3 linked regions of the Drosophila melanogaster genome follow. The protein of the gene in region 3 purifies or fractionates together with the protein of the main gene of each other region. This does not show direct contact. Each region holds a gene or a part of one and is shown on either strand. Other genes may lie near its edges.

What was found.
Region 1: the proteins of 14-3-3zeta (region 3) and yki purify together in Drosophila melanogaster (affinity purification with western blotting; 5 studies listed by BioGRID, with this or other methods). This does not show direct contact.
Region 2: the proteins of 14-3-3zeta (region 3) and gwl purify together in Drosophila melanogaster (affinity purification with western blotting, with the first as the bait; one study listed by BioGRID). This does not show direct contact.

Annotation. Positions count from the first base shown.
Region 1 is NT_033778.4:24,066,645-24,070,397, reverse strand, and holds the start of yki (yorkie), read left to right. Parts: upstream 1-1,912; 5' UTR 1,913-2,082; coding exon 2,083-2,933; intron 2,934-3,143; coding exon 3,144-3,235; intron 3,236-3,681; coding exon 3,682-3,753. Other genes in the region: Gpat4 (Glycerol-3-phosphate acyltransferase 4), read right to left, coding at 156-398, 456-659, 1,064-1,198. UniProt on the Drosophila melanogaster protein: Transcriptional coactivator which is the critical downstream regulatory target in the Hippo/SWH (Sav/Wts/Hpo) signaling pathway that plays a pivotal role in organ size control and tumor suppression by restricting proliferation and promoting apoptosis.
Region 2 is NT_033777.3:18,744,629-18,748,381, forward strand, and holds the start of gwl (greatwall), read left to right. Parts: upstream 1-1,741; 5' UTR 1,742-1,943; coding exon 1,944-2,093; intron 2,094-2,608; coding exon 2,609-3,442; intron 3,443-3,502; coding exon 3,503-3,661; intron 3,662-3,732; coding exon 3,733-3,753. Other genes in the region: PGS1 (phosphatidylglycerophosphate synthase 1), read right to left, coding at 1-42, 101-1,165.
Region 3 is NT_033778.4:10,098,002-10,101,754, forward strand, and holds the start of 14-3-3zeta (14-3-3zeta), read left to right. Parts: upstream 1-1,675; 5' UTR 1,676-1,737; exon of another isoform or gene 1,738-1,849; intron 1,850-3,034; exon of another isoform or gene 3,035-3,176; intron 3,177-3,753. Other genes in the region: Jra (Jun-related antigen), read left to right, coding at 1-135; RpLP0-like (ribosomal protein LP0-like), read right to left, coding at 590-1,084, 1,145-1,392, 1,458-1,485. UniProt on the Drosophila melanogaster protein: Required in Raf-dependent cell proliferation and photoreceptor differentiation during eye development. Acts upstream of Raf and downstream of Ras, and is essential for viability.

The sequences.
Region 1 (3,753 bases), about 14 Mb from region 3:
ACTCGACAGCCCAATCCCTATGCATGATGCTGTTCTCCAGTCTAAAGCGGAATACATTACTTAAGCGTATCCTTTGGGATAATTTGTAGCATGCATGGGAATCGGGACGATCGGGTAGTTGTGGAAAAGCCACTAAATGAACCGAATGTACTCACACCAACGAAGCATACCAATACCCGGAGGGGCATCAGGATGACGTAGCGGATGAAGAAGCCGAACACCCAGATGGAGGTGATTTTCCAGGAAATGAACTCGTAGTGCCTATTGGTGCGTGTCAGCATGTTCCAGCTCTTGAGCTCCTCCGCCTCGAAGCGCGACGTAACATCGTCCTCGATGATGGCCTCCACGCCAGACTTTACGTAGTCCAGGCATTTCTCAAAATCGAAATTGATTTCATCCTGCAAATGGGAAATGTTGTTTAAATCAGGTGCCCATTGCAATGCCGGACTCCTTACCTTTGTGGAGGAAACTGGCTTCTCTGGAGCGGGCTCCTGTGGCTGGGGCAGGAGTACCGCGTCCCTGGTAATCAATGTGGCTCCATTGGTGCCTTCTTTGGAATCGGCGTCGTCCACTAGTTGCACTCCCTGTTTGTCGTCAGTCTTGGGATTTTGAATGTGTTGGTTTTCTTTGGATGCTGTCTCTATACTAACTCGACCATACTGAAAGTAGAGGTGATTAGTTGTTAACGAGTCGAATCGGGGATTATCTGCAGATAAGATTATCGCAAGCATATCGTCGGACGAGGTAATGACTGGCACTTTACAAGTGTCTGGGAAGCGGCAACTTGGGTGCACTGGCGCACTCCTGCCCCGCAGATTCCTTGAGGATAGCCGAAGAATCTACTTAAAGCTTCCGGGCAAGCAATAGTTTCTCGAACTCGCCTGCATTGCAGTAATTGCGTAGGGCAGACGTAGTATGGCGTACTCCAAAAGCTGACTATATTTATGGACTTTGGAATAGCTTAACTATTGGTAAGACAGCACCATTTGCAAAGCCACCGCAGCAGTGGAGCACCTCAAATCGGTGCTTACTCATCTGAGGAACGAAAGCAAGCAATATTTACCTCGAATATCCTTAGGAGGAGGTTCACGTACGCTTTTCGGACGCCGATTGATTTGTTTATGGCGGAAATAAATATGAGAAATGAGAGGAAGCCCCCGATGGGGATCCAGAATATGTCCAACAGCACGGCGATCATTTTACATTTGTGTCATGCGACATTAGTTATTGTTAAGCGAAAAATGCCTCCGAATTGTGTCGTGCCAATATATACAATGTTAAAATACTTTTTGCTGTAGACCGAACTAGCGATGGACCTTGACTGTGTCAAAAACCTGTCTCGTGCTCACAGACCTGGCCCGCGCTCATCTCTACGGGGAACAAACGGAAAGGGGACGATTCCGGTCGGGCAGGAGACGGAACGGCTTCTTGTTCCACTGCCAATCGTTTTGAAAAGGGTTGAATGAACGTGCACTGAAAACAAAAAGGCACATTTACATTCAGATTATATTGTTATTGGGTATGTGTTTTTGACAGACCTTTACCTGCACTTATTACTTAAATCAACAAGGCACATTTACAATCAGTTTATATTGTTATTGGGTGTGTTTTTGACAGACCTTTGCCTGTACTTATTTTCACTAAACAAAATGTTATAAACCAATAAATAATAATTGTTAGTCTAATAATTTATAGTCTGATATTATGGAACACAAGTGTGTGGGCTATACACACACCATAATTTAATATCTACTTTGTTTTGTGCCTTATTAATTACAAAATATAGAATAAATCTTTAGCTATAGCTAAAGGAAATCGACAAAAGTCGTAATCGGCTTGCGGAATACCCCTGGCATTCCGCAGGTGCAGCCACGAAGCCGATTACATGAGGAACGCTAGTATCGGAATGGACAAGTGGACGGGGATAGCCATCTGGCAACACTGGGATAAATTTATTTTATGTTGGCAGTTCCGTAATTATTATTATTACTATTATTTATTGCAACGAAGTTTAGTTTTTAACACCTTAATGTTATAGTTTCGCGCAGCGCGATGGAGTGATACGTATATGGAAGAACATATATGTGCGCGTGCCTAATCGCTAAGATAATTCTATGTAGTTTTCGTTTGTATACAATAAGTGCCTTTTATATGTTAACGACGATGTCAGCCAGCAGCAATACAAACAGCCTGATCGAGAAGGAGATCGACGACGAGGACATGCTTTCGCCGATCAAGTCCAACAACCTGGTGGTGCGGGTCAACCAGGACACGGACGACAACCTGCAGGCGCTATTCGACAGCGTCCTGAATCCGGGTGACGCCAAGCGCCCGCTGCAGCTGCCCCTGCGCATGCGGAAGCTGCCCAACTCCTTCTTCACGCCCCCGGCGCCCTCGCACTCGCGGGCCAACAGCGCCGACTCCACCTACGACGCGGGCTCCCAGTCGAGCATCAACATCGGGAACAAGGCGTCCATCGTCCAGCAGCCAGATGGCCAGTCGCCCATCGCCGCCATCCCCCAGCTCCAGATTCAGCCGTCTCCCCAGCACAGCCGCCTGGCGATACATCACTCCCGAGCCCGCAGCAGCCCCGCCTCGCTGCAGCAGAACTACAATGTGCGCGCCCGGAGCGACGCAGCAGCAGCCAACAATCCGAATGCCAATCCGAGCAGCCAACAGCAGCCCGCTGGGCCCACTTTCCCAGAGAACAGTGCCCAAGAGTTCCCCAGCGGCGCCCCGGCCAGCTCGGCCATTGATCTGGACGCCATGAACACCTGCATGTCGCAGGACATTCCCATGTCCATGCAGACAGTGCACAAGAAGCAGCGCTCCTACGACGTCATCAGCCCCATTCAGTTGAACCGCCAACTAGGCGCCTTGCCGCCGGGATGGGAGCAAGCCAAGACCAATGATGGCCAGATCTACTACTTGAAGTGAGTTTGGGCAGATTTTAAAAATGATATGCATGAAGCTTTATTTAATACGTGTCTTCTTTATGAACTTATGAAAACTAAAATATTCTTGTGAGTCACAGAAATCTCATTGGCTTCGTTGGATGTCTTTCAAGTTTATCTCTTAATCATTACTAGCTCAACTAATACCCAAAACAGCAATCTCAACAATGGTGTTCTCTCTACTTGCAGTCATACTACAAAATCTACGCAGTGGGAGGATCCCAGAATCCAATATCGCCAGCAGCAGCAAATCTTGATGGCCGAGCGAATAAAGCAGAATGGTAGGTTCTATCTTAGATGTAATGCCTTAGATAAGCAAGTCGTTAACTGCCTGTGGCTGCGTCTCATTGTTAACCCACTTAAATCAGCCATCAGAGGACTAATTAATGCTAGAGACCAGGCAGGGATAAGATAGGCTCTAACTCATTCCAACTAACGCATGAACAGCACAGTACACAACCGATTTCAGGGAGTCCATTCCGTCCATTTTGAGCGCGCCAATGCACTTTTCGGGATTGGGTTGGAGTCTGATCATTTTGGCATTCGGAAGTGGGAGCTCGATTGGATTTGCTTTGAGCATACTCCAATTGATTTTGATATGTGCTGCATGCTGGGCGCCAGTGCCCCTCCGTTCTCATCCGCTTACACACTGCAGCATTACGTTGAAGACATATTTTAATTTGTTTTTATTTACTTTGGTTTGTAATTCATTGTTTTTGTTCGATAGATGTTTTGCAAACTACAAAACAAACTACCACATCGACCATTGCTAACAATTTGGGTCCACTGCCGGATGGTT
Region 2 (3,753 bases), on a different chromosome or scaffold from region 3:
AATTCCGCCCGCTGGTCCTTTGGCACCCTGAAAGCCGTTTGCCTGGAAAATGAATTAAATCGGGTTACTATTGGTCAACTAATTACTGATAGCCACTCACATTTGGATGAGCCATCAGTATGCTGCATTGGGCCAGGCACTTGTGCGTGAGCGTGTCCATGTACTCCTGCGTCAGGTTGAAGTACCCGGTGGCCAGTTTCAGCCGTGATCCAGACAAGCAGTTGGAGAGCAGCCGCTTGGTCACCACGCTGTCGTGATGAATGCCGATCTGGCCCATCTCAAGCAGCGGAAAAATCCATGTGTCTGCCTGCGGATTCTGCTCTTTAGTTCGCGCCTGCCGCTGAAACGTCTCCTGCACTAAATCGGAAATACGTTTACGGGCAAGCTGGATAAACTGCTCCTTGGTGCCCTCGTACGGCAGTATTCGCCAGTTGCGGTGCAGTCCCTCGCTGGCATCTGGCGCCACTGCCAAACTAAACTCTTGAACGCGTTCGATGAACTGCGCATAGAAATCCGCCAACGGTTTGTCCTCAATGAGTATGTATCGATCCTGCCGGTTGGTGAAGTAGTCATTGGACAGATTGGCGCCTGATATGATCACGGCATCGTCGAACAGGTAGACCTTCATGTGCTGTAGTCCGAGAAGCTCATTCCACCGTGGCGGTGCTAGTCGCTTTGTCATCCCGCGCAGATCAGGCGTATGGTACAGGGATAGCTGCACCTGGCTCGCAAAGTCGCGGACCAGGGGTAGCAACATGGTCTTGGAGTTGAGGGTTCCCCGCGTGCCGCGTGTAAAGTCCAACAGCACGTTGAGCCTCAGGGCAGACTGTTGCTCCAGGCTGTGACGCAACGTCTGAACCATTGCGTTCTCCAGTTGCCCAGTGCCCAGGTACAAACTGGCCAGCACTATACGGCGTTTGGCCTGACCGATTCGTTGCACCAGCGTTTCGTAGAAGTGCTTTGGCTCGTGGATGACCTGAATTTGATCGCCTCGCAGCGGGAAGCACGGCGCTAGGTTGTGTAACCAACTTAGGCTCTCCAGTGCGGGTGCTCCAGGGAATCCGGTGGCCAGGACACTGGGCGCCTGCTGCAAGCAGCCCAGAAAATCGCCCTGAGCAGCCGGAGAGAGCTCCTGGCTGAAAAGGCGGCGAAGGTATGGCATCATCTTGGCGGGGATTTCTCTGACGGATTGGCAAGCGGATCCTCACTCTGGGCGGCTGCTATTTGATGACAGGGTATGGCGCATTGCTCACTGTCTGTTTGGCTGTATCCGGAACACACTTTCATTCATGGAGTGCTGTTTTATCACAAAAAAAACTTCGAATTTCAGCACGTAAATAAATTCCAGGTGGAACGCAAGTGTTGCAAAGCGAGCTGGGATTCGATAACAATTTATAGCTATCGGGAATTATCGACTGTTCATAATGGTGATGGTGATATGGTGATCCTGCTATGTGTTTCTTAAAAAAAAATAATATTTAAATCAAATTAATAAAAGCCTAACCATTTATCAATAGTTACTAACTGTTACATTTTTAACATTTTTGTGTATATCTACTTTTATATATATGCATAAAGAAATATTTGAATAAATTTACTTGAAATATTCAACCGGTATCTTACTAATATGCATTTCTTTTTGGTAATATTTAATTTTAGTTTAAAAAATCGTTTAATTTTAAACTGCAATAACATCGATGTTGTCAAATTTCTAGAAACATCGATAATACTAAGAATCGAATTAGTTTCACCTCTAGTTCAGGTCATAGAAAATAGACGCGCTGTTTTAAATGTGTGTTTGAAATAAAAATTGTGCAATAAACAAGCTAATAGCATTCAGGTCTATATCGAATTCTATACATTGTATATCTCTGTACGATAATTGTATATATTGTGCGAAACCGCGAGAAAATCGCACTCTGACCGTCGGAAACCTGGAAGATATGGAAAACGCCGATGCGACTTCGCAATCGGATGTCCACATCGACTACAAAACCCCCAAGAAGACCCACTCGCTGATCGACAGTGAGCAGTTGCTGGACAAGATCAACATCCTTACCACCAAGCCGGAGAATCACTCCCAGAATGCCAAGGTACGCGGAGGAATCGCAAACTGGCGATTACCACACGTGGGTGGTTTACAGTTAGCCACGGTTGCTAATCAAGAAAATTTGAAATGCCTCTAAACACAGTGTTTATGTAAATTGATTAAAAAAGGGCAGTACATGTTCAAGAATTAATGAAAAGGTTATGTTTATGTATTATAGGAAAAACGAAAAACATATGTACGTTCAAATGTGATGTTATATAGGATTTCCATTTCAAAAACATTTTTACAGTTCTATTTATCTTCTGTTTTTTTTACATAGCTCCTTTCTTCATTTCCTTTTACTGGCTATTGATGTACATATATCTTCTTTTATCCAATTATATATATACACATATGCTTTTTTAAGATTTTTTATTTTTTATATCTAGAACTGAAGTTTTTCTATGTCTAACTTTAGCTATATTATTTTCCTTTGTTCTGCCTTGGGCTATAAGAATTACCACCACCACTTAGGTCACTTTATTATATAGTAATGGATACATTCGCTTTCTTATACAGCTTCCCACTATCAAGGATTTTGTCATCATTAAGCCAATCAGCCGCGGCGCCTTTGGAAAAGTCTTCCTGGGCTACAAGAACAACGACTCGAAGCGGCTGTTCGCCATCAAGGTGATGCGCAAGTCAGAGATGATCAACAAGAACATGGTGTCCCAGGTAATCACGGAGCGGAATGCCCTGGCCCTCTCCCGCTCTCAGTTCTGTGTCAGTCTCTTCTACTCCCTGCAATCGCTCTCCTACGTCTACCTGGTGATGGAGTACATGGTGGGCGGGGATCTCAAGTCACTGCTGGCCATGTTTGGGTATTTTGACGAGCCCACGGCCCGGTTCTACGTGGCCGAGATGGTGATGGCGCTGCAGTATCTGCATCAGCACGGAATTGTCCACAGAGATATTAAACCGGACAACATGTTGCTCTCCTCCAGTGGCCATGTGAAGCTTACTGATTTTGGGTTGAGCAAAATCGATATGCGAAGAGATCTGGAAATATCAGACCTTATAAACTGCTCACCGAATTTAAACGCCCGCACGCCGGGCCAGCTTTTGTCGCTTACTTCGCACCTGTCTTTTGGGTCAGAGAAGAAACTGAATGACTTCGGTTCTGTTTCAAGTGGACAAAACAACGGAATGGGCTCGGTGGCCACGGGGACATCCCACTTGCTGCAGGCCATCAACAAGCATAGTCTGATAATGGAGCTGTCGGATAGCGAGGGCGACACCTCGCTCAATGATGCAGAGAAGACGAGCGATAGCAAGATATCTGGTGTTTCCCCCTTCTTTTCTGCCGAGGAGGCCAATGAATCCATTACTCATACCTGCACTACAAACGTAAATGTGGGTAAACATATTGCAATTAAAATGGATTTATTCATCTATCATTCTCCGAATCTTCAGCCCCAGGATAGCAGCTCGTCTTGTTCGTTCCACACTTGTAACTCGGCCGACCTGAGCAAGTGCTCACCACCACTGGAGTCAAAGGACGGTGCTGCTGCGGGCAATGCGATCCCCAGCAAGCGGCGCGTGGAATTCGTCTTGGATGCGGCACCCTGTCAGGTAAGTGGCTGGAAATCGGCCAAACCCGTAATCTCTGTATTTATTTGCATAAATGGTTGATTCTCTGAAAGGGCTGCAAGCTGGCCGAGCAA
Region 3 (3,753 bases):
GTACTTAAGGGCGAGAACGTCGACCTGGCTAGCATCGTGAAGAACCTCAAGGACCATGTGGCGCAGCTGAAGCAGCAGGTGATGGAGCACATTGCCGCGGGCTGCACGGTGCCGCCGAACTCGACAGACCAATAACATTTGGAGTTGTCAGCCGGGGAGAATGATGAGGAGGACGTGGCACTGGAGACTGAAACCCCCTCGAATCCTGAAGATCCCGAGCAACCCATGCCTCTGGAATTCTTTTCAAGTGCTAGCACCGGTGCCTTGGAGCTGGAGGGCTCGGCCTCTCAGGATATTTCCCTAACTAACAGCGAACTCCTGGAGGAGGAGAGCGATAACGAACAGCCTCTGGTGCTCTACATCCTCGCGGACGACGCAACCTGAGGCTTTGTGCCTTTCTTTGGTTTTAGCTGCAATATCTGAAATGCTTCTTAAGTGTTTTGTTTACTTAGTTATTAGTATAAGCTAGTGTTAATCAAGTATTATCTGTGTTGAACGTAAGATAATATGTAATGTACTTTTAAAATATACGTATATTTTCTGCACTTGATATATACATAAAAAAATTATTTCTACGCCTTAAACTTATTTATTCATCATCCTCCTCTTCGTCATCATCGTCGTCGTTGTCATCCATGGCCTCGGCCTCGGCCTCCTCTTCCATTGCGCTATCAGCCTGTTCCTCGTCGTTCACATCATCCTCGACATGCAGCTGGAAGCCTTCGCTTTTTGTCCACGAGCACTTCATGGTCAGCCGAAATTTGGCCATGGGCTTGCCCACCAGCTTGAGGATTCTCGCCTGTTCGGGTGTTAGAACTTTGCCCTCCTCACAAACCGTGTAGTCACTGTACAGCGTAACGATTCCCTTCTCCAATTTGGTGGGCAGGCCCAGGGAACGCAGATGCGGTTCCATAGAGTGGGCGAAGTCCTCTAGGGGACCTGCTGGCAGGGTAACCGTTTCCGTGGCCACAAAGCCACTGCGTGCGTATTCCACGGCCCAGTAGTTTTCTGCCCACTCCAGGACTTCCTCCTTGGATTTGTCCGTGAAAAGCAGTCCCACCTGGCCAGTTAATCGCTTGGATAGCTAATAGACATAGCCTGTGATTAGTGTCTGATATATGTTAATCCACTTAAACTTAATTACCTTGTGCAATTCCGGCTCCACTTCCTCGCTCTTCGTGCGACCCAAGCCAATCTGCATAACACGATTCTTGCCAAAGATAAAACGAGAATTCTTTTTCAACTCCTGTCGCAGATCCTTCAGCAAGCTATTCCTCATGTTCTGAACTTGGAAAACGAATATATTTGGGTATTTGCCCACGCAGAACCGAATGTCGTCCACAATGCGCTGTTTCCAAGCCAGACCCTTGCGGTCGGTTTTGGTCAGGGAAACTAAGGGAAGAAGAGTATCGCACGTTATAAGTACAAATCGTATATATTAAAGCCGAAACTCTCACCTTTCTTATCACGTTTGGAGCGCGGCATATCTGTAGCCTTTAAATAGCAACGTTTTCTTAACAGAAACCAAGAATATTTCCCACCGAACGTAAACACGTGCGGCCTTCTAGAGATGGTAAATGTTCCTAACCAACAATCGATAGCTCTATCGTGTATCGGAATTTCGCACCGTGCGGGTTGGAAAATTCCTGCGGGCCAATCCCTACTTCAGCTTTCCTCGTTTTCCAACACATCTGCGCGTAGAGAAGAAGAAGAACCTTCACGTCCGAGCCGTAAGAGGTGAATTAACTAATTAATAAGTGCTTGCTCGTTTAAAACTAAGTTAAAAGTCGTGTGCTGAGAGCCCAAGGATTACGCATATATTCGATATTCGCTTGAAAACCCAGGCGCAGTAAGTAGTTTCACCTAGTGCGTCGTGTGTCGGCTTGCGACCGCCATATTGTCGGCGGATAAAATTTTCCCCGAATAAGTGCGCCCACGCACTTTATCGATTCCGTTGGCCTCCTAATTGGATGCCACCTGCCCCTTGGGCTCTCCGCATTTGATTGCGTGCGGTACTGGCCTTGCGAAAATCCCATTACAATTGGAAATGGACGTAGCAATTTTTCATTACCGCAACCAAATAGGACGCCGATGACGTAATTTTTTCCGTCTTGTTCTTTGTGAGCTGTAGTAAAATGTAGAGATGAGCGCGTGAGCATGTCTTCGCCACGCACGAGTTGAATTGCAATACACTTACACGATTATTTAGAAAATTCCTCGTACACCTAATTACCGTTTTTTTTTTTTAATGACTTGAACATTATGCTTAATGTAATACAAAAACATCATAGAATATTAAATATATTTTCTTATTGTATAATTAACAATAGAAGAAGACTCAAAAGAATATACTCTAATTTTGTCGAATTATCCCATATTGACAGGACTAAGTATAATTAGAACTAGAAATTGATTGTTAAATCCTCGCCTTAACTTCCGGCCCACAATCGTAGGCCCTGCCTCACCTCACGAAAATCATAAGTACGTGGATATCTCGTTTTTATGTGTGAGTGCACCAATTCAATGAAATCCAAATTAGAATTAAGGCAATTTACCGCCACCCCCTTATCAATGGCATACATCTCCCGATTAGTTTCCTCCTTGCGGAGGCCATAAAGTCAAGATAAAAGCGTAATCTGGCAGCGAGATAAGCGCTCGAAAGTTTCAACAGGTTGGAAACGAACTATAAACTATTACTTCATAAAACGATGATAACACAAAGACTTGACAATAAAAGCTGGCTCATTTTAAAGCTCTCTATCTACAAGTTCTGAGACGCCTATTAATTAGTATATTTTATCTGAAAGTTTGGTTTCCAAGTTTTACCTGCACACCTGGCAACATTAATTTATACAGCAGGTTGGCAACCCTGAAACTCTCTCACTTGTCGCACTTTCTCGCTCTCGCCTGAGCCAGCCCCATATGCTCCCTCTCATTCTGCGGCGGCGCATGTGCCCCTGCTAGAGTGTGCGTGGGGAGAGAGCGCAGAAACACAGATACAGCGGCGCGGCGAATGTGTGCAACCTTTGCCGTCCGTCATTCTCATTCGTTCGTTGGTAGTGTTCGTTGTCGTTTCAGTTTCAGTTAATCGAGAATGTAAGTAACATTTTTGCTGGCCCAGAGTGCCTTGTACCTATGTGTGTGCGCCTGCCAGTGTGTGTATGGAATTATAAAACGTAAAATTGCTAAAATATCCGAAGAAAAAACACGTGTAATGCCGCCTATGAGCAATCACTTACATGCATCTATACTTCGTCCCGCAGAAAAATCGAAATACATAAATCAGACATCGATCCGAAGCCAAAAAAAAAAAATCTACGCAAAAGAATAAAGTGTAAATTTGTGCAAAATAAGGAAAAGAAAAGAAAATGAAAGAAAAGAACATTCCCGAGTTGCCCGAGTATTGGTGCATGTATGTGATGCGGTGAGATTCGCTTGTAGCTTCGTATTTCTCATCATCATCAGCAGTTCATCGGTTAAGTTGTAGGCGGCGGACATAGCCGACTTCTATATTTACGCTTATATAGCCAGCTATATGTACACACAGTACGCCAAGATAGATATATATATATATATATCCAAGTTGATACTTGGATGGGGACACGCGGTTAGGTGGGTTTCCTCGCCAAACTCAACACACTTGGCGGCCGCCTGTGGTAGATACATTTCGGCCTCTCTCTGCGGCGTTCTCCGCTCTCTCCCTCCCTCCCACCTCGCTCCTCCTTTCTCCCGATTATTTTTATAATTTTGTAG